Oryctolagus cuniculus: one gene and its partners. Each later gene encodes a partner of the first gene's protein in a complex. Links are inferred from orthologs where the notes say so. Each region holds a gene or a part of one and is shown in the gene's direction. Other genes may lie near its edges.

Region 1 (6,867 bases):
CAGTAGCTGCCCTTTGGGGAAACATTGTTAGCAATATTGGGAAATTCTTGCCCTTAAGCTGTTCATGTTAATTCCTTACGTACTTCGCAATGTACCTTTTAAGGTAGTGTATTGAAAACTGGCAAGTTTACTGGAAAGGCAACAAATATGCCATTCATTCGTTGTGGTCTGACCAATATTTGTCAAATAAATGTTTGACTATTTATAAATGCAAAATGGCTTATGTTCAGACTGGTTTCCCAACTTGATTTATCTGCATTATTACTATTTAAGGGCTCTTCAAAAAGTTAAGGGAAGTGTTTTCAGAAACATTGCATGGAAATTTTCATGACATTCAATTAACACACTATGTCCCATTGACCTGTCATAGCATCCCATTAAGACAAATTGAGCAATAAATGTACTGCTAGACTATATTGTTTTTTTTGACAGTGGCTTCACTCTTTCAATATGTCTATTTTTAGAATTATTCCCTGGTCTTGCTTTAATATGTCTACCTGGTTATAATTCCTGGTAATTGAGTCAGGTAGTAAAGGGCAGAGATGACATTCATTAGTGTTTAATTTTATCTGTTAAAGGTTGGCCAAAATTGGCTCATCACCAGATGAATGAAATTTGGGGGTGCTTAGTGAAATCCTTTCTGCTAGTTGCTATAGGTATTTGCAAAGTGTCATTATACCCCCAAAACCCAACTTTTTAAATCTTAAATACTGCAAGAGCAGGGCAGGTTAGAAAATCCAGCAGACTTGTGGCCCTGGCATGTACACCTGTCTCATTACTACAGAGCAGCCATCATGCAAAGTATAATTTTTTGTAATCTGTCATTGATGGCAGAGGAGAAAATAATTTAGGATTTCGGTGCTGTGTACACGTATCTTGGGATGCCTGAATGCACTGTGGGCGTACACTGGCTCAAGTAGGTGGGCCCTTCTGTTCTGGGAGATGAAGATTCAGTTTGTGGCTTCAGCTTGTCTACTGTTGGTTTGTGGTCATTAGAGTGAACACATGGATGGGTGATGTGTATCTAATTTTTAAGAAAACGAGTTTTGCCAGTAGGCAAGCTCGAAAAGTAGTTTATGTTTGGAATGTTTTATAATGGTTATTTTCTCTGATAATGGGTAACAGCTGTATTTTAGAATGAACATTACATCACAAAATGTTTGCAGCATGTGATTTTGAGGAACACAGACTTAACATTTTTCACTTTCAAAATAGCACCAATCCTACAGAGTTGAATTGTGTGAATAGGATCAGTGGAAGGGGCTGGGTATCCTAGAAATTCCAAAGTTTGGATTAATAGAATCAGGTTTCAAGAAAGACACAAACTCTGCTTTATCATATCACCCTGCCTCTTCAGTTAACAAGATCTTTATGCTGGATAATGGGCAGATCGAATAGCAAAATAATGCCTCTAAGATACAGGCTAGTCAAAGATGATTTTATTGTACACACGCTGGGACTGATGGGAAGTGTAGCTGTAGTGGGGAGCCATTGCCCTGGTTAGCAACGGATCCCCATTCCAATGGCCATGAATGTGCCAAACGTGCCGCCACTCTGCATCATGGTTTTCCCAATGCCGCCCATCAGCTCGCGACCCCGCATTCCGATCCTGAGGAGGAAACCAGGATGGGGACATTTGGGAACAAAAATTTTTGACCATTTGTTCGTTTCCACTCTGGTAATATATTGAGCCCTGTTAAAATCTAGACATCTCTATCTTAAATCCGATCTCTTTCCATCTAGGGTAATAAGAAGAAAGATCCATTAGTGTCTACAGGACATTCTTAGGGCCAACTGCCTGTAGTTTACTGGTGGCAGCAGACATGGGGTGAAGTACATGTGCTGATTTTGACTTCAGGCTCTATATGATCCAATAACGACACCTATCTTTAGACACCGTTTTCTGGTATTAGATTTGAGTGAGACCCAGGTTGGAGACTGTTCTGCAAATTCACAGGCTGTATTAGTATTACATTTGCCGGAATGTTTTGACAACTACAGTAGTTTAGCACCAGTAAATCCTCAGTAAACGATAGTTCGTAATGTAGGAAAATGGGAATAACTTTTTCAAGTGGTAAAGTGACTTTCAAGTATGGAGTATATCTGCTTCATCTGTACATCGTTTTCAAAGACAGTAGAGCCGCTTAGCAAGTTTCATTTTGCCCACTCAGAACAGCAGTAGCAACCATTTACTGAGTACTTAATTAATACGTGCCAGATGCTGTGCTTGATTTCTGCCTCTCCCTGAGCTGGTGTTACCGACCTCACCCTACACTTGAAGAGACTCAAGTCTCCAATTTGTCTTAAGTCACCAAACCAGCAGCCGAACGACTCTGGAGCTCAGATTCTTAGGCTCGGACGCCTTGAACCCGAGTCTCCTGGCTGCACGCGGTCAGGACAGCTGGGAACTGGAACGAAGGACGCGCCACTGGGGCTGCGAGCCGGGCGGGTTCCGCGGCGCCGCCCGGAGATTTCCGCTGCGCTCCTCACCTGAGACAGGAGAAGGTGCCGAAAAGCGCCCCGGCCGCCATGCCCACGGCGCAGCCCATCACAAAGCCCATCTTCACACGATCGAAGCAGCTTGGCTGCGATTGTCCGTAGGGACCCACGGCCACCGGCATCTGCGGAATGCGAGAGAGGAAAGTGCGGGCCTAGCCGCCAGCCCGGGAGTCGGGCAGGGCGGGGAGCGGGCCCAGGGGTTCGGGGAAGTCAAAGGAGGGGAATCAGCGCGCTGCCCGCCTCCACCACCATCTTCGCGTTCGGGCTCCCGCGTCGCGCGGTCGCGGGGCTCACACGGCCCCTCCTCACCTCGCTCGCGGCCTCGGTCGCTCAGCAGTACGTCTCACACGGGAAGCAGGGCGGGGCGCGCGCGTGGCCCGAGGAATCGCTTCCGGTGCGCGAGGCAGCACTTCCGGGAGCCTGGGGCCGAAGTCGGCCGCCGCTCCAGGTGGTGGGCTCGGCCGCCGCGACCATGCTGCTGCGATCCGCCTGGCGGCGGGCGGCCTCGGCGGTGACCGCGGCCCGAGGGGCGAGGCCTGCGGTGCCCACCCGGGAGCTGCGCCTGCGCGGTACGCTCCTGGGCTCTTCGCTGCCACTCTCCCTGGAGGCGCGCGTCTTTGCCCCTGGGCGCCACTACGCACTTGGATATTCTGGAACCTCCTTGTCCGGCCCGGCTGCCTTAGAGCCTCTGCCCTTTGCCGTCCGCCGCGCTCAGTCTGTCTGCGCAGCAGACCTGGACAGCCTACGAGGCTCGTCCTTCGGACCGCCCCAGCCGTCTTTTGGAGACGCGGTCCGCGGCTTCTTCCCAGCCCGCTACCTCACCTGCTCTGTCTCCGCATTCCTTCTACGGGGCTTTACCCTTGAGAGTTCTTCTCACTCCCAACCAGGGAATTTAAATATCGCCCCAGCATCTTCCTCCAAGAACCGGCTCCCGCCTTACCCCTTACCACCTTTCAGAGGGTCCCGAGCTTCTCTGATGCTGTGTTCCTTCCCTTCCCGTTTGACCCCGGCATCGCTCGAATTTACCACCGCCTTCATCCCGCTTTCACCTCCCGCCCTGACGGCAGCCCGGCGTCCTCCGCCGCAGGCTCTCACTTGGCCGCTCCGTTCCTTCTGTTTTTCTGACAGTGGCGGACCATGCTCCCTCAGGCACAGCCGCTGCTCCGGAGGTGGAGGCAGTGCTGCGACCTCTCTATATGGATGTGCAAGCTACAACTCCTCTGGTAAGAAGGGAGCGGCAGCTTTCCCCAGGGCTGTCCACAGGAAGTGAGCAGTGGAAGTGACAGTGCCCAGAAATCGCTGGATTCTTGTAGACGTGAGAGCCCTTTGAGATGTGCCGGCAAGTGCCTCCAGCCGGGACTCAGGAGGCTTAAACCGCAGTCCACGAGAAGTGGCTCTGCCGTTGGATTTAGGCAGGCAGGGCAGGCACGATGGAAGTGGTTACAGTAAGCATGGGCTCTTGAAGTTAGCAGGAGTACCATCTCATAGCTAGGTGAAATTGGGCTGGTATCAAATCGGTTAAAAGACACAAAGCAGCCCAGCATATGGTCAGCACTCGAGAGTTAATGAAAATTTTCATCTCTGTGTGACAAGGGGCGTTTGCCTGGGCTCTGTCGTGTCCCAGCCCCTCAGAGGTCACATTTTCTGGCAGGAATGGAAAAACTTGCAGCAACAGCCATCAGCCCTCAGAACAAGGAAGTGTTTGTAGACCATGGAGGAGATGATAGAGAAAGGGCATGGTAGGACCCCTTGGGAGATGGGAGTATATTATGGTCGTATTTGGTTAGTATCTGAGGAGGTGGAAGAATGTGAGAAACCCCAGGCAGGCAGTGTCTGACTGGTCAGGAGTGTGTGGGCAGGGTATGTAGGAGTGGGAAAGAAGGCCCTGAGGTGACAACGGATTCTATTCTGCTGTGCCCAGGACCCGCGGGTACTTGATGCCATGCTTCCTTATCTGGTCAACTACTATGGGAACCCACACTCCCGGACACACGCTTATGGCTGGGAGAGTGAGGCAGCCGTGGAACGCGCTCGCCAGGTTAGTTCACAGGTGTCTGGGAGGTTCTGAGGACAGAGGGCTAGTGGCCTGTGGGAGGCATTTCCTTCTTGGTAGAAGTGGGTGGAAATGGTTTCAGGTTCTTTCTGGAAGAGATACAGACAGCACCTTGGTGTCTGACTGCAGGCATTTGATTACTTCCCACAATTCCTAGTTAAAAGGCCTTGGGCAAGTTACCTCATTTCTCTGAACCTCAGTTTCTCAAATATGAAATGGAGACTGCAATAATTCCTGTTCCCTGGGGTTGCTGAGCTGGTTAAATGAGACCGTACTGGTAAAGTGTTGATGAACACAATACTTGTACATAGTGAGAGCTCAATAAGTGCATTTGAAAGACCACACAGAATAGTATTATTGGGGGCTGGTAAAAAGCCTGGGATATGGGCTGTCACTGACCCTAGGACGCAGAGCGCTTCTTCCTGGTCCACTGGTAGATTTCTGTGGAGCTCTCTCCTCCAGAGCTCTGGCCCAGCCGTGTCTGGAGTCGCTTGCCTAGACCGATGTCCCCATAGTGTGGGAACTGATGTTATGCATCTGTTTCTTCGCTTGCAGCAAGTAGCATCTCTCATTGGAGCTGATCCTCGCGAGATCATTTTCACTAGTGGTGCTACTGAGTCTAACAACATAGCAGTTAAGGTAAGAGAAGCAGATCTGCGTCTTCCTGACTCGAGAGAGAAGTATTTCTCCATCATTTAGGCTCAGACATATATTTCACAACTACCTACCCCTCATTATTGTGACGAGAAAACACTCCTGGTTTGCTTTTCCTTCAGTCCTCTGCAGTCTACTCTGTTTTAAGTCTTTGTCTATTGGCCTGAGTTCAGTGAGGCAGTTGGTAGGAGAGGCTGTGGTTCTCAGGCCATTAACCACTTGGTTTCTTGGGTGGCAGCTACTTCAGAAAGTTGATAATGACGACTGAACTCTCTGCCTCATTCTTGTGATCTGGTAACAAGGAAGTCCCGAATCACTTGTACTTAGGCATGTTTCTCCTTCATGCTATAGCTTCACCCTTTTATATATTGGGGCTGTTCTCATTGTAGCAGTCTCATTTCTTTCTTTTTTAAAAATTTATTTATTTATTTATTTGAAAGGCAGAGTTACAGAGAGAGGAAGAAACAGAGAGAGATCTTTCTTATCCACTGGTTCACTCCCCAAGTGGCCACAGTGGCCAGGGCTGGGCCAAACAGAAGCCAAGAGCCTGGGACTCCATCTAGGTCTCCCATGTGTGTGGCAGGAACCCAAGAACTTGGGCCATCTTCAGCTGCTTTCTCAGGTGCATCAGCAGGGAGCTAGATTGAAAGTGGGGCAGCTGGGACTCAAACCATTGCTCGAATGGGATGCCTGTGCCGCAGGCAGTGGCATAACTCACTGTGCCATAATGTAGCTCCTCCCTTTTCCTTCCAGTCAAATCTGTTTGTGACAAGTTGCTTACTCCTTTTAATTTTTTACTTTTTAAAAAAAATTAATTTATTTATTTGAAAGGTAGAGTTAGAGAGAGAGAGATCTTCCATCCACTGGTTCACTCCCCAAATGGCCACAATGGCCAGGACTGGGTCAGGCCAAAGCTAGGAACCTGGATTATTGCCAGGTTTCCCACCTGGGTGGCAAGGGCTCAAGTACTTGGGCCGTCTTTTGCTGCTTTTCTCAGGCCATTAGCAGGGAGCTGAATTGAGAGAGTGGAGCAGCTGGGACACAAACTGGCACTCATATATGGTGCGGACGTCACAGGCTGTGACTCAACTCACTACACCGCAACACTGACCCCTCCTTTTTCTTTAGATAGCTCCATTTCTCCATGTTGTTGTTGTTGTTGTGAAGTTTTTTTTTTTTAAGTTTTTATTTAATGAATGTGTTTTTCATAGTTACAACTCTAGGAATATATTGGTTCTTTCCCCCGTACCAACCCTCCCACCCTGACTCCCATCCCACATCCTTCTCCCTCTCCCATCCCCTTCTGCTTTATGGTTCATTTTATATAGAGAGGACCAACTCCATATTAAGCACTGATTTCAACAGTTTGTGCCCACACACACACACACAACATATAAAGCACAGTTTGAGAACAAGATTTGTAGTTAATTTTCATAGTACAGTTCATTAAGGACAGGGGTCCTACATGGGGAGTAAGTGCACAGTGACTTCTGTTGTTCCTTTAGCAATTAACACTCTTGTTTATGATGTCAGTGATCACCCAAGGCTCTTGCCATGGGATGCCAAATCTATGGAAGCTTTTTAGCACATAGAGTCCATCAGTATTTGGACATGGCCATAAGCAAAATGGATGTTCTCTTTGTTTTATTTATTTCTTTCTT
Region 2 (6,988 bases), on another chromosome or scaffold:
GAGCCGGCCAGGGTCCAAACCCCACTCTGAGCGACTTGGAGCAAAGCCTCGGCTTCTTCCCGCCTCGCTGGCGCCCCACGCTCCCCACCCTGCCCCGGGCCCCCCAGCACCGGGCGCCCAGTGGGGGTTTGCCCAGCAGGACGCCCCAGCAGAAGCTCGGAGGGAGGGGAAAGGTTAGCGTACCGCTTCCCCCATCCCAACCTCTGCTGTGACACTGAGCGTGCACCAACGACCGAAGCTCTCAGCACATCTCGGGAGCTCTTTGCACACAACCATCGACGGGACCGGTCACTCCCTACACCCCCTCGGGGCTGGACACAACGTTTCCCAACCGGCAGACGGGGCAGCCCGGGCCAGGGGCGTTAAGCACTCCGCCCAAGCTACCAAAAGCGGGGCAAACCTCTGTCCCCCTTTCCGCGCCCGCGACCACCGTCTCAACCGCTATCTTCCCTCCCCCGCTGCGCTGGACCCCCGTTACCATGCCCACAGGAAAAGGACTCCATCCTAACAAGACCCAACTTTACCCGGGCGGTTCCGAGCGGCTCAAAGTACCGGCGGCCCGACCCGTCCTCGGCCTCCGGCGTGAAGCGGCGCTAGCACCGCTCCCGTCACCGAGCCTCCACCGGGCAACGCCTGCGAAGCACCAGGGCCGCAGGCGGCGATCCAGGACCGCAGCTGCGGGGATGCCCGGCGGCCTGCCGGCTTTCGCGACCGCGGGGCGGGCCGGGGCCCCGGAGCGAGGGCCCACCTGCTCCTCCAGCCGCTCGATCTCCAGCTGGTTCTTCTCGTCCTCTTCGTCGTACTCCCATTCGTACTCCCCGGGGGAGCTCTCCGCCGAGGAGGCCATGGCGTACTCCTCATCCCCATCGCTCTCGCTCATGCCTTCCTCTTGCGGCTGGTCCCACCCTGGCCCCATGGTCTTGGACGTCGCAGCGGCCACAGCCCGCGACAACACCTTCCTCCTCGTCCTGGCCGCCTTGACCTCATCCTCCTCTCCCTCGGCCTGGGGCCCGGCCTGGGGCTCGGCCTCGGGTTCCGAAGCCGAAGATGCAGCCGCCGTCGCCATCTTGCGCTTCAGGGACTCCCGGGTCTTCCCTCGGCCGCCGAAGACCCGGCTGAGGGCGAGGCTGCCCGCGGCGCGCGCCTGACCAAAACCCCCGCTTTCTTGCCACCGAAAGGGAAACTGGGAGCCTCAGAGGACAAGAAAACAGACAAAAGTACGCAGTTCGTATTATTTTAATATACTTTCAGAAACCTCCGGCGAAGAAAAGGCTCCTTAATATGACAGGTCTTCCGGCACAACTCCGGACAGAAGTTGGGTCTTTGGACAGGAAGTGGCGGCCATAGAGGAAGTCGTGGAGTGAGCGTGGTGTCTGCAGTGACGGGCTTGGCGCCATCTTGAGAAGGTCAAAGGATTCCTGTAAATAAATGTTTTCTTAAAGCCTAGCCGGACTCGGAGCGGAGCTCGGTCTCCCAGCAACTGAGGCTCAAACGCTAAGAAAACAAATCCTCCGGGAAGGATCGACTGCACCATTCACGGGACAAACTCACTTCCCTAAGAGAGCCTCCCTTTCTATGCAATGCCTCGTACCTGGTAGACGTTAAGTGTTTGAATTTTCCAATTTTATCACATCGCCTTATGCAAGCCAGCATCAATAGAGTCCATGAATAAACATGTCTTTAGTGGCTCCTCATTGCCATGCCTTGTCCTATAAATTAGGAGTTTGCTGTTCTGTAAGGAGATCTCAACAGAGATACAATCTAGACATTGTTTGGAAAATAAGGGATTGGTGTTTGATTCCTCCTTAAGAAGCGTCCCATTTTTGAGGTAGGGAAATATTGGTGTGTGTGCGTGTGTGTTCATTCACTGCCTTTCTCCCTCATTACCAAGCGTAAAGGGACCAGAACGGTGGGGTTTGCTTTCCGTGCAAATCCTCCACTCTGTCTAGCGCCGGCACTTAATATGTATTTGCCGCGTGGCTAAAACAATTGTCCTAGAATTACCACGGATTACGCTTGGTGAACTGGCACCAGCCGCCCAGGGCGCACAGCCGGGGAGGGGCGGATCCCGGAGCTGGGGTCACCAATTGTCCCCACTGAGCCTAGGTCTCCGCGCGAGCACTCTGAGCCTCAATGGCGCACTGCAAAGTTGTACCGGGTCCGCCTCTAGAATGCGGCCTTGCACCCTCTCAGCCCGGCCGCCGCGGAATCCCCAGACCCCAACCCAGACCCCAACGCCCCGCAGCAAGCCCTCCCGCGCTTCCCACGCCCCGCCCCCGAGGGGCGTGGCCAAGGCGAGGCCACAGCGCGGACGCGCGCACGGAGTGGGCGGGCGCAGGCGCGCTGACGTCAGCCCGACTCGCACGCGCGCGCGCGCCCCGCCCCTCGGCGTCGCTCTGGGGCGGCTCAGGGGCTCGCCGGAGAGATGGCGGCGGCTGGAGCTGGCCGTCTGCGGAGAGCGGCGTCGGCCCTGCTGCTGCGGAGCCCGCGCCTGCCCGCCCGGGAGCTGTCCGCTCCGGCCCGGCTCTATCACAAGAAGGTAGGGGCGAGCCTAGGGGTGCGCGAGCGGCCGAGGGCACCCAGGCGTCCCCGGATCCCAGCCGACACTTCCGTCCACGGCAGGTGGAAGTGGCCGAGGCAGCAGGGGCCATCGGCGCCCGCTCCTCCGCCCACTTCCCCTCGCTGCGCGGTGACGGGAACGGCTGATGGATAAACGCAGCTCAGCAGGCGGCTCCCGGTTGCTTCCCCTCCGTTGCCCACGGCCCTGGGCGGGGATCCTGTGCGCTTGGCCTTCGGAGTCGAGGACACACACAGCCCGGCGCGGGCTCGGGCCACTGCCCGGGCCAGGTGACCTTGGGCCAGTCGCCGCCGCACTCCGACCCTGTTCCCGCGGCTCCCCAGCAGGAGAGAGTGAGCGTGGGGTCCTAGGCACGCGCTGTCGCGGTGGCGGGGTCGCTGCACCTGCTCGGGGTTCGCTTTTGCCTCTTGGCGAGGGAGGGAGAGCGAGCCGTGGCTGACAGCCGCTGGCCGCGTCCCCGGGGGCGTAAAGACCCCGACGTGTGCGCCTGCCTCTGTAGGGAAGCAGCTAAAAACCACGCAGTAACTCAGAACGGAGTCTGGAGTAGACGTGGTTCTCTCGGGAGGCCTCGGGTGGGATGTGGGGCGGGGGCTGGCTGCTTCGTGGGCTCGGGGCTCCGGTGGCATTTTGTTGACATTTTGTGCAGAAGGGACGCGGGCTCGCGCTAGGGGGCGCGGCTGCTCCGGGTGATGGCATTGCCCGGCGCTGTTTTGTTTATTATTATTTTAGCACCTCTGGTAGATAGCATTGTGCGTTCTGCAGCGGCCCCCCCCCCCCCCCGGAGGCTTCCGAGAAAGCCTTGTGGCCCTGGGCTATGAGTGGTGTTTTTTACAGTTTTGAATGGTGATCCGTCTCCTTGGAGAGTGGATTTTATTGGGGGGAAGAGGAGCCTGTGACACAGAGGGCCCTCGTTGATGCGAATGTAGGCTCTCTCTCTCCCCCACGGGAGACGTGTTCAGTGGGCGCCTGCCCGGGGCGGGGTGCTGACGTCATGGGGAGAACGTGGCGATTTCCCGACTTTCTCATTTCAGGTTGTGGATCACTATGAAAACCCCAGAAACGTGGGGTCCCTTGACAAGACGTCCAAAAATGTCGGCACTGGCCTCGTGGGGGCCCCCGCTTGTGGGGATGTCATGAAGTTGCAGGTACGGGTCCGGACGGGCCGGGCAGCTCCCCGCTCTCGCCGCGTTCCGTTTGGTTCTGGGAGGAGGCCTGTCGTAACGGATTGAGCAGGGACTCCTTCCTACTGCTGTCCTGCAGTGCAGATCTTTTCTGGAGGAGGGAGCTGACTTCACGTTCCACCTCGCTGCGTCAGCCTAGACTCCAAGTTAGCCAGCTGGAAGGGTCTGTGAATTTTGCTGATCCAAGGGAAACCGTGTGCCCAAATCGGAAGCGTCCTGCAGGCAGCCGCTGGCACTTGGGTTACAGCAGCTGTACCCTGGACCTCCCTCCTCATGGGCTGGGAAGCCCACCAGAGACCTCACATGCCTAGGAACACAGAGACAGGGCAGGAGGGGGCCCCTCAGTGCAGTGGGTGCCCGCAGGAGACTCGCACTGGAAACCCTCTGCTGTCTGGAGCAGCAGCTGCCCAGCAGCGGTGGGCCGACTTCCTCCCAGCCCCGAGCAGGCCGGGGCGGCAGCGAGGCCTGGGCGCTGGCCCCGGCAGCCCCTGCGTCATCCCTGGTCTCGGAAGCAGCCGGTACCCAGCACCTTCACTCGCAGCGTGGACGGCGAGCCCGGAGCTCTGGGGGAGACCCGGGAGTCACCTCCTCTCTCTTTCCTCCAGATCCAGGTGGATGAGAAGGGGAAGATTGTGGACGCCCGGTTTAAGACCTTCGGCTGCGGCTCTGCGATCGCCTCCAGCTCCTTAGCCACCGAGTGGGTGAAAGGGAAGACGGTAAGGCTGGGGCTCCTTGGCCCTCTGGCAGCACCGCCTGCAGCCTGCCTCTCGGAGGGGCAGGTGTGGCCGAGAGGAACAACACGTCACGAGGTCATTCGCAAATGCTACCCGCACAGTGTTATTTCAGTCCCCCCTCCCTAAAGGTTGACCCCAGCCTGCTCCACACTGTGTCGGGCGGTGTGTGGATGTTTTGTTGTTGATCACTTTTCCCTGGGTGTTTGGGGGCTGTATCGGCTGTCAACATCACTGCGGCAAAAAAAAATCCAGGACTAGCTACTTAGGAAGAGAAGAGAGGTTGATTTTGCCTCCAGTCTGCAGGTCCAGGTCCAGGGCTGGGCAGCCCCACGGAGCCAGCCATGTGGTGCGGCAGGAGCAGGGCAGTGGTGCTCGGAGGCCGCCTCACACTGAGCCAGGAAGCAGAGGGCGTGGCTGGGCCAGCTGGGCTTTTGCTGCCAACCCTTGTGAGCACCACCTCCAGGGCACGGCCCCAGGGACCCAAGGAGGAAGGGCCTCCTGCTGGTGCCACCGCCTAAGCCCCATAGCGGCAGGAGTAAGGACTCGGAAACACAGGGGGTGAGGGCAGGGTCAGCCCCGGGAGCAGTGGTGCGGTGGCTGCCGCAGGCTTCCGGGAGAGGTGAGGAGGGCTGGCGCACCTCCTCCCTCCTCTCTGCAAAGCCCCCTTCCCCAGCGGCCGCAGCGGGGGGAGGGCCCCCGTCACCCTGACAACCTCTCGGAAGCCAGCCCGCAGGGACACGGGCCAGGGAGCCAAGTCTTAGGAGCAGTCGTGCAGTGCTGGCCAGGCCACGTGCCACCTGCAGCCTCTGGCCCGGCCTCGGCTGGCAAACTCCGTTGGCGAAGGGAGCACTCACCTGACCTGCTCTGGCCTCACGTGGCCCCCATGTGATTTGTCAGCAGGGACTCTCAGGTTCAGCACTGAGACAGGGCCCCTGGGCTCAGGGTCCTGGCCATTAGCAGGCTCCGAGCTATGAGCGAAAGCGGGCACAGGCCTTTCTTTAACTTGAGATTCCACCCCCCACCCCCGACCACCAGGGTTCCCAAGGCACTGGGGCTGTGTTCCCCCAGGCAAGCTCCTGCCCACCTCACTTGGTGCCCGGGGCTGCCCCAGGGGGAGCAGGGGGCAGTCCTGCAGGCAGAGGGGTTGTCTGCAGAGAGCTCCCGGCCCTGGGCCTGCAAAACCAGCAAAGAAAACCAAAAGAAAAGGCCGACCCCTGTTGCTGTCTCACACAGGCCCCTAAGAGGCTCCTCACGGATTCTGCTCCTGGCAGAATCCCGGGACTTGGCCGCCCTGGCCAACCCTGGCCAGGCAGGGCGGATGTGTGTACTTTGTCCTTGAGAGCCCCAGTGCAGGAGTCCTGAGAACTGAGTTACTAAACAGTGTGTGTATCTGTGTGTGTGTCTGTGTCTGTGTGTGCATGTCTGTGTGTCTGTGTGTGCATGTCTGTGTGTGTCTGTGTGTATGTGTGTGTATCTGTGTGTGTGTCTGTGTCTGTGTGTGCATGTCTGTGTGTGTGTGTATATGTCTGTGTCTGTGTGTGTCTGTGTGTGTATGTGTGTTTCTGTCTGTGTGTGTCTGTGTGTGCATGTCTGTGTGTGTCTGTGTCTGTGTCTGTGTGTATGTGTGTGTGTGTCTATGTGTCTGTGTGTGTGTGTATCTGTGTGTGTGCTGTCCCCCGCCCGGCCTGTGCTCAGGCCGCTGGCCCGCCTCTTACTCGTGGGCCCTCGCGTCACCCAGCCTCACTAAACCTGTGCGTCTCCCTTGTGCCTGTCAGGTGGAGGAAGCCTTGACCATCAAAAACACAGACATCGCCAAGGAGCTCTGCCTCCCCCCGGTGAAACTGCACTGCTCCAGTAAGTCTCTGCCTGCGGCGTCGGCCAGCAGGGCGCTTGGCCCTGACGTCAGCCCGCCTGCCTGAGAGCAGTGAGCGTCCTTTTGCGCCCGCTGGTCTCACGGCTGGGAGCTGCTGTGTGCTGGCATGGAGTGTCCCGAGCCCTCCATGGATGTCGTTTCTAGACCTTGAGGACACCCTCAGGTCCACAGCGGGAGCCATCACTCCCCTGTCATGGACGAGGAAGCTTGCGCGCGCCTGAAGTCACCCCGTCACAGCTCGTTGGTGGCAGAGCCAGAGTTTGTGCCCCAGGCTTTGATTCCAGAATCTTGGTTTTTCCCCCAAGATTGATTTGAAAGGCAGAGTTACAGAGAAAAGGAGAGACACATCTTCCGTCCACTGCTCACTCCTGTGATGGCTACAACAGCCGGGTCTCCCACATGGGTGAAGGGCTCCAAACACTTGGGCCATCTCCTGCTACTTTTCCCAGGCCATTAGCAGGGAGCTGGATCGGAAATAGAGCAGCCGGGACTCAAACTGGCAACCACATGGGGCGCTGGCGTCACAGGCAGCAGCTTTACCCACTACGCCGCAACGCCAGCCCCGGGCCTTGATTACAGAATCTTTGCTGTCCCCTGCCAGCTCATATCGTAGCTCAGTTAG
Region 3 (6,397 bases), on another chromosome or scaffold:
CCAAAGTGCATCCCGGGGAGGCGTCGTGGCGCAGCAGGTTAGGCTGCTGCTTGCAATGTCAGCATTTTGTGGGAGCCCCCGTTGACGTCCAGCTGCTCCACTCCCAGTCCAGTTCCCTGATAATGCACCTAGAAAACTAGCAGAAGAGGCCACACGTCCTTGGGCCCCTGCCACCCACGTGGGAGACGCCAGATGGAGTTCCAGGCTCCTGATTTCAGCCTGGCTTAGCCGCAGCAGTTGTGACCATTTAGGGAATGAAACAGTAGATGGAAGATCTCTCTCCCTCTCCCCCACTCCTTCTCGCTTATCCCTCTGCCTTTCAAATAAAGGAAGAAATCTTGATTTTTTAAAAGTACATCCAGGGGCCAGTGCTGTGGCTGTGGCATAGTGGCTTAAGCTGCCGCCTGCAGCACTGGCATCCCATATGGGCACTGGTTAGAGTCCCGGCTGCTCCACTTCCGATCCAGCTCCCTGCTAATGTGCCTGTGAAAGCAGTGGCAGATGGTCCAAGTGCTTGGACCTCTGCACCCACATGACTGCACCTGTGTGGGAGACCCAGAGGAAGCTCCTGGCTGCTGGCTTCATACTGGCTCAGCTCCAGCCATCCACAGCCATTTGGGGAGTGAACCAGCAGATGGAAAATCTCTCTCTTTCTCTCTGTCCTTCTCTGCCTCTGCCTCTGCCTCTCCTCTGTAGCTCTGCCTTTCAAGTAAAATAAATTTTTTAACCAAGCACATACACCATTTGAATCACAACTCTGGATTACTTTATACACATTTAGTTCCAAGATGTTGAGCTTCATTTCCTTGGGTCAGGACTATGGAAAGTTAGGCAGACAGAGAATATGCAACAGAATATTCTGTACCCTGGGCCTTGAGCAGTGGGTAGCCCCCTGCAGTAAATTCATGTGATAAAGCAAGTTCTTGTATATCAAATGGAACATTAATTAAACTGTTTTGTCCCCTCTCTGCTCCCATCACCATTGAAAAAGAAACTACTTAGGAGAAACCTACAGAATGAGGAAGAACAGTGATACTGTGTTACATAAAAATTTTTCGGCGCAAGAAAGTGTGCACAGAACCAGGAACTGCTGTTGGCTCACCTGGCTGCTGTCTAAAACTTGCTGGCATAGCAGGTGCACACGGGAGACTGTGTCTTAGCGATTCTGTTAGTAAAATTCGCCTAGTCCCTTTGTAGGGGAATGAGCCCCAGCTGTCTAGTGGCTGCAGGGACCTGGGTCCCCCCTTCTCATCATTGTCGCCCCAAAAGATTGATACTGAACACTCCGGAGCTTTCTGCAGACGCTGTAGCTGGTGCACACAGGGTCAAGATCAAAGCCTCAGCACAGTCTTAGGTTTGGAAAGTGCAAGTTCCCAAACCTTTACAGTTCCTAATGTTACAGGATTTACTTGTACTTTTGCTTTTTAAATGCAAATAGACCTGGCATTTGAATTTTAATGGAAAATTTCATTTTACTTTAGGAAAGTTTGTCTAAAGCAAAATTTGTTCTTTCTAAAGGGATATATTTGTCTCAGTATGTATTCAGCTCCCAGCAGTCGCCCATCCCCCAACACCTAAGGAAGTTATATTCTCCTTCTCATTCCTTTCCCTCTATTTCCATTCTTCTGTCCCTAAGCGTTGCTTCTTCAGCTGGTGTTTAAAGATAAAAGCAAAGCACTCAGGTCCTTAGAAAGACCAGAGAAGGCCAAGTCTGACGTCTGACTTGAGCTGCCTCTCCTGGGTCTGGAGCAAGTGTGGGGCGAAGGCCGTGGCCTGTGCACATGGGAGTGTGTCTGGGCGAGGCCTCTGGCGTCAGCTGTTGTAGCTCATTATCCAGACCACTCTGCCCTCAGTACACACTCTGATCTGTGACCCAGAGAACGTGTGGGCCCAAGGTGAGGCAGGATGTGGAGAGGGGAATGCTAATCGCATGATGGTAAAACAGGAAGAAGAACTTGGGTTTATTAAGTCTTCCCATGTACCAGGCTGTGTGCCAAATTCCAGACACACATTATAAAGTCTCGTCTCCCAGCAGCACTGAGCTGTGTTATGCATTTTTTTTGACAGATGCAGAAACATGGCCTTATGTTAAGAAGCTTGTTCAAGTTCACACAAACAGTAGGAGCTGGAGCAAGAGTGCACACCCACGTCAGCATGTTTGAGAGGCCTTGCTCTCGGACCGCTCTGGCGTGTTGCAAGTGGCCTTTATCTGTGGGCGAGGATGGGGTGTGTGGCTGTGCAGATAGGCACAATCCACCCTCTCCACTGCAGTGGGCTGCGCCTTACACTTCATGTTGCAGAAGGGGGAGTGAGAGCCAAGCCATGGCTCGGGGACTGCAAGCCGACTCCAGTCCAGCAGATACCACTGCCTTACTGTGCACACATGCGGTGCATGATGTAACCCCTGAATTTTTGTGGTCTATGTAAAATAAAGGTTCAGTTACCCTTGTAGATGGGAGAAGCCAGATGCAAATACCCCTGTAGATCCAATACCTAGGGAGCATTTTGGTCACAGTCTACCATCTTTAGATGTGACTTACTTGGGATCGACTTACTTTCCTAAATCTGTTCACTGGTTATGCCAGAATAGCAATGAGTTGGCATGACTCGGGAGCAAAGATCAAAGTGGGTTATCCATAGGGGACAAGTAGACAGTTAATGTTAAAGGAGAACGTCTTAAATTCATTTAGAGCATAACCTCAGACATGCTGACGCCTCTTCTTCATTCCCTCTGAATTCTTCTAGAATGTATGCTATCAGGAGGATACGAGATGCCTTCAGAGAAAATAAAAATGTAAAGGATCCTGTAGAAATCCAAGCCCTAGTGAATAAAGCCAAAAGAGACCTGGGAATCATTCGTCGACAGGTAAGACGGCTCCGCGACGCTCTGGCGTTGTGCAGAGCTCCGGCTCTCGCGTAGCCCCCTTGACTGGGCATCACCGCGTTCGATGTTTACGGTGCACACCGCAGGATCTTCTACTAATACAGACGTAGAAAGACGAACCAACACAAATGCCAGCCCTCCAGACTTGCTGGGGAACGCAGCCTTCTGGCCGAGTTAATGCCGATGCTTTAAGTGTGAGAAACTCCAGTGTGACCTTCCTTACAATCTCAGTCCTTGCAAGCTGTACTGCACATGTATTCGTGGACACACACTGCACGTGTACACACGGGCATATATGGCACACGTCTGTGTGGACGTGTATGAGTCTCTCCTGCCTTCCCTAGTGCTTCTCACCGTGATTCAAGGTAAGCAGAAATGTTGTTCTTGTCTTAGCGCCGCTGCTATGGTTGTTGCCACCGGGAAGGGGTTGTCTACAGGTACAGATGGTGGGAAGCGCAGCTGTGTGGGTGCTGACCCCAGAAAGTGAGCGGGAAGATGTTTGTTTTCTTCTGTGCAGTGCCAAGGGTCACCCTGACTTGTGCCTGCTGCTCTCACTCTCGTTGTGGGTGGCGCCTCGGCAGCACTGTGGTCTCCAGGGTGGTCCGATGTATAGCATTAGAGGGTAAAGCAGCCTCCGCCACCTGGCTTTTTGTTTCATTCTCTCAAAAAATCGCGCTTCTCACTGTTTTCCTTTGACTCAGCAATAACTACCATAACCTTCATTTCCGCTTTATTCATTTGTACTTCTTTCTTTCTGTAAGTTTGTTCATAAAATACGGAGGGGAGGGGCCCTCACGGTCTTCCCAAGTTCTGCTGTAGTATTTTAGAAAGGGAGATTCCAGCTGGGTTCACGTTATGTTAGCTACAGTCTTTCCCTGACCCTTCTTGAGGCTTGACTCTAAACAGATTTAAAAAAAAAAAACCCATGCATGAAACTGCACAGTGCATTTCGTGTCTTGGTTTAAAGTCCGTCCCGGCACCTGTGTGATGGCACGGTCACTGCACAATGACATTTGAGACCCTGACAAGCCTTCCTGAGTTCTCTCATCTGTCCACGATAGCACTTGGCCACATCCAGACAGCCCCGGAAATCATCTTTACCTAACAGCAGGAAAAGATCATACGGTGGTCAGAGAAAGAAACTCACTGGCATTTGCACGTACGTTGCGAATGGTGGATAAATGAGTCACCATTTCTGAGAACTTCAGAACGAGAGTCACCAGTGGTAAGATTTCATGGGATCCTTTGGCAGTGAAATTTAGAAAAAGCAAGCAGCCAGGGACCTTGTTGTGCATAAACTCTGGAAAATTCGATGCTTTGGCACTTTCTCCATGTGGAGCTTCGCAAACAGCTCCAGAACAAGCTGATTTTACTTTGAGTGCAAAGTTGCTCAGACGATAAACTGCTCACAGAAAAGCTGTCCTGTAAATATTCCGTGCCACAGATTTCTTGTGTTGTATCTAATTGTGTCACTCCTTGGTTTGAAGTACTAAAACTTCCCGTTTAAAAACACCATGGCCCTCCTTCAACAGCCCCAGCGACTCCACACTCAAAGCAGACGCAGACATTGGAGCAGTCGGTCCGAGTGCAGGGTGAGGGTGCCCTCCCCAGGACTGCTGGGCGACTGCACCTTCCTGCCCAGGGAAAGCAGGCTGCTGGCTTCCAGGGCCAAAGCCGCCTCAGAACCCTAGCAGAACAGAGAGTGGTCCGTGAGCTCGGAGAGGCCCTCACACAGAAAGCATGGGAGGACTACTTAGCCAGCGATTCTTCACTGCTGGGAAGTCTGTTCACTTCTCTTCACGTCAAGACTCTTGCTGGACCCAAGCACAGTGTTCGCTGTAGACAGAGCCTGAGAGGTGGTGGGCTCCCTGAGCCTTCTCACTGCAAGCTGATGGCGCCTGGCTGTGGACTGAAGGCCCACCAGGAGGAGGGACCTGCCCCCTTGCCTCCCCGTGTGCCCCCTGCAGTCTGTTCTCACACGCCACTGCCAAGCTGAGCTTCTTCAAAAGCCAGAATCGGATCAGGAGACAGCCCTGCTCAGTGCCCTGCGGGGGCCCCTGGCTCGCTGGAGAGCAGAACTAGAGCCCTTGCATCAAGGCCCTCCCTCGTGCTCGTTCCCTCGCTCACATTGGTTCACTCCCTTCTTGCTGGCCCTGGTGTGCACCGCTCTGTTGCCATCTCAGAGCCTTCACACCTCTGCCTGGAGGAGTCCGCAGACTTGCTCCTGGCTCTCAACCCCTTCCCACCCTGGCCGAGGTGTGTGTGACCTGCATTAGTTAACACATGGCACGTATAAATACCTAAAATAACATTATGATTGAACCCCCCCCCATCCACGGGGCACATATTCCAGGACCCCCAGTGCACACCCGGAGCCACTGGATATCACCAACCGCTGCCTATGCTGTGTTTCTTCACATACATCCATATGCAAAGTAAATGCCTTTGCCATCTTAAATATGCACTTATTCTACACTGTGCCTGTAACTTGTGTGGTTTTAGGTATGAAAGCAAGGTAGCTTGCATCCCTTACTCTTCACAACTTCCTGGGTAGAAGAGTCATTCCTACCATAGAGCCTAGCAACCTCAACTTACGATATTTCTAAGTCATAAACGTTCGCCTCTTCACTTAAAGCAAGCACTTTGTAACATCACTTTGGCATATCCAGAGTGGCGGCATCACTCCTGTTGGGTTTGGGGGCCATTACTAGGAGCACATTGCTTGAACATAAGAGCTATGTTACAGTGACAGTCGATCTGATAACTAAGAAGGCTAGTAAATAAGATGGGCTGGGAGCCCATGCAGTCAGAATATGCTGGACCAGAGACGGTTCATGTGCCAGGTGGGACAGGGCAGGATGGTGCGATACCTCATCACGCTACTCAGAATGGTGCACCGTCTGAAACTTGGGAATTGTTTATTTCTGAAGTTTACCAACCACAGTCGATGGCAGGTAACTAAATCCATAGAAAGCAGAACCGCAGATGAGACTACTGTTCGGCTGTCTTTTCCATTGTCTTCCTCCTCCATGAGACAGGAGGGTCATGAAGTCCGGTGTGTCATGGTCAGCACACGCTGGTGGTCACAAGCGTGGGCTTTAGGATCCACCTCACTGACTCAGCCCTTAGCTACAGTCCTTGAACAAGTTACGTAACCTCCGAGTGCCTCGTGTGAGGATCAGCCCTGCTTCGGGGCTTTGTGAGCATCACACAAGATGTATGAGAAGCCCCCAGGATGGGGCCAGACTGCGTGAGTGCTGCTGCTGTTGGGCACAGCAACTGAATCAGTCGCCAGTAGATTTGGCTCTTAGTGTTTGTCGGGGGCAGATGCTGTGACACAGTGAGTGAAGCCACTGCAGGACATCCACATTTCTTACCAGAGTGCTGGTTCAAGTCCCAGCTACTCTGCTTCCCATCTGGCTTCTTGTTAATGCATCCCGGGAGGCAGCAAACGATGGCATAAGTGCTTGGGCCCCCGCCACCCACATAGGAGACCCAGATGGAGTTCCAGCC

What was found.
Region 2: the proteins of NFS1 (region 1) and ISCU are in contact, whole or in part, in a crystal structure (PDB 6W1D), measured with the Homo sapiens proteins. The link is inferred for Oryctolagus cuniculus from reciprocal best matches to the Homo sapiens genes NFS1 and ISCU. Residues at the interface, in NP_066923.3 of Homo sapiens: Tyr360, Val361, Glu362, Glu364, Ser365, Leu367, Met368, Ala369, Lys371, Glu399, Asp400, His403, Ser404, His429, Arg432, Leu433, Glu435, Met436, Ser437, Pro438, Leu439, Glu441, Met442, Trp454, Thr455; in NP_998760.1 of Homo sapiens: Tyr35, Val40, His42, Tyr43, Glu44, Val49, Gly50, Ser51, Leu63, Val64, Gly65, Ala66, Pro67, Ala68, Cys69, Gly70, Val72, Lys74, Phe90, Lys91, Thr92, Phe93, Gly94, Cys95, Gly96, Ile99, Lys135.
Region 3: the proteins of NFS1 (region 1) and LYRM4 are in contact, whole or in part, in a crystal structure (PDB 6W1D), measured with the Homo sapiens proteins. The link is inferred for Oryctolagus cuniculus from reciprocal best matches to the Homo sapiens genes NFS1 and LYRM4. Residues at the interface, in NP_066923.3 of Homo sapiens: Leu56, Arg57, Pro58, Leu59, Pro68, Leu69, Pro71, Arg72, Leu74, Asp75, Leu78, Glu314, Tyr317, Arg321, Asp372, Arg412, Phe413, Thr414, Thr415, Glu417, Glu418, Tyr421; in NP_065141.3 of Homo sapiens: Phe23, Tyr26, Asn27, Tyr28, Thr30, Tyr31, Arg34, Arg35, Asp38, Val65, Arg68, Gln69, Ile72, Thr78, Asp79, Lys80, Leu81, Ile82, Ile83, Asn85.

Annotation. Positions count from the first base shown.
Region 1 is NC_091442.1:22,506,579-22,513,445, forward strand, and holds the start of NFS1 (cysteine desulfurase), read left to right. Parts: upstream 1-2,971; coding exon 2,972-3,068; intron 3,069-3,627; coding exon 3,628-3,722; intron 3,723-4,420; coding exon 4,421-4,537; intron 4,538-5,107; coding exon 5,108-5,191; intron 5,192-6,867. Other genes in the region: ROMO1 (reactive oxygen species modulator 1), read right to left, coding at 1,501-1,609, 2,491-2,621.
Region 2 is NC_091452.1:17,763,341-17,770,328, forward strand, and holds the start of ISCU (iron-sulfur cluster assembly enzyme ISCU), read left to right. Parts: upstream 1-2,335; 5' UTR 2,336-2,425; coding exon 2,426-2,539; intron 2,540-3,609; coding exon 3,610-3,723; intron 3,724-4,364; coding exon 4,365-4,475; intron 4,476-6,268; coding exon 6,269-6,347; intron 6,348-6,988. Other genes in the region: SART3 (squamous cell carcinoma antigen recognized by T-cells 3), read right to left, coding at 749-1,066.
Region 3 is NC_091436.1:165,212,788-165,219,184, forward strand, and holds part of LYRM4 (LYR motif-containing protein 4), read left to right. Parts: intron 1-2,745; coding exon 2,746-2,866; intron 2,867-6,397.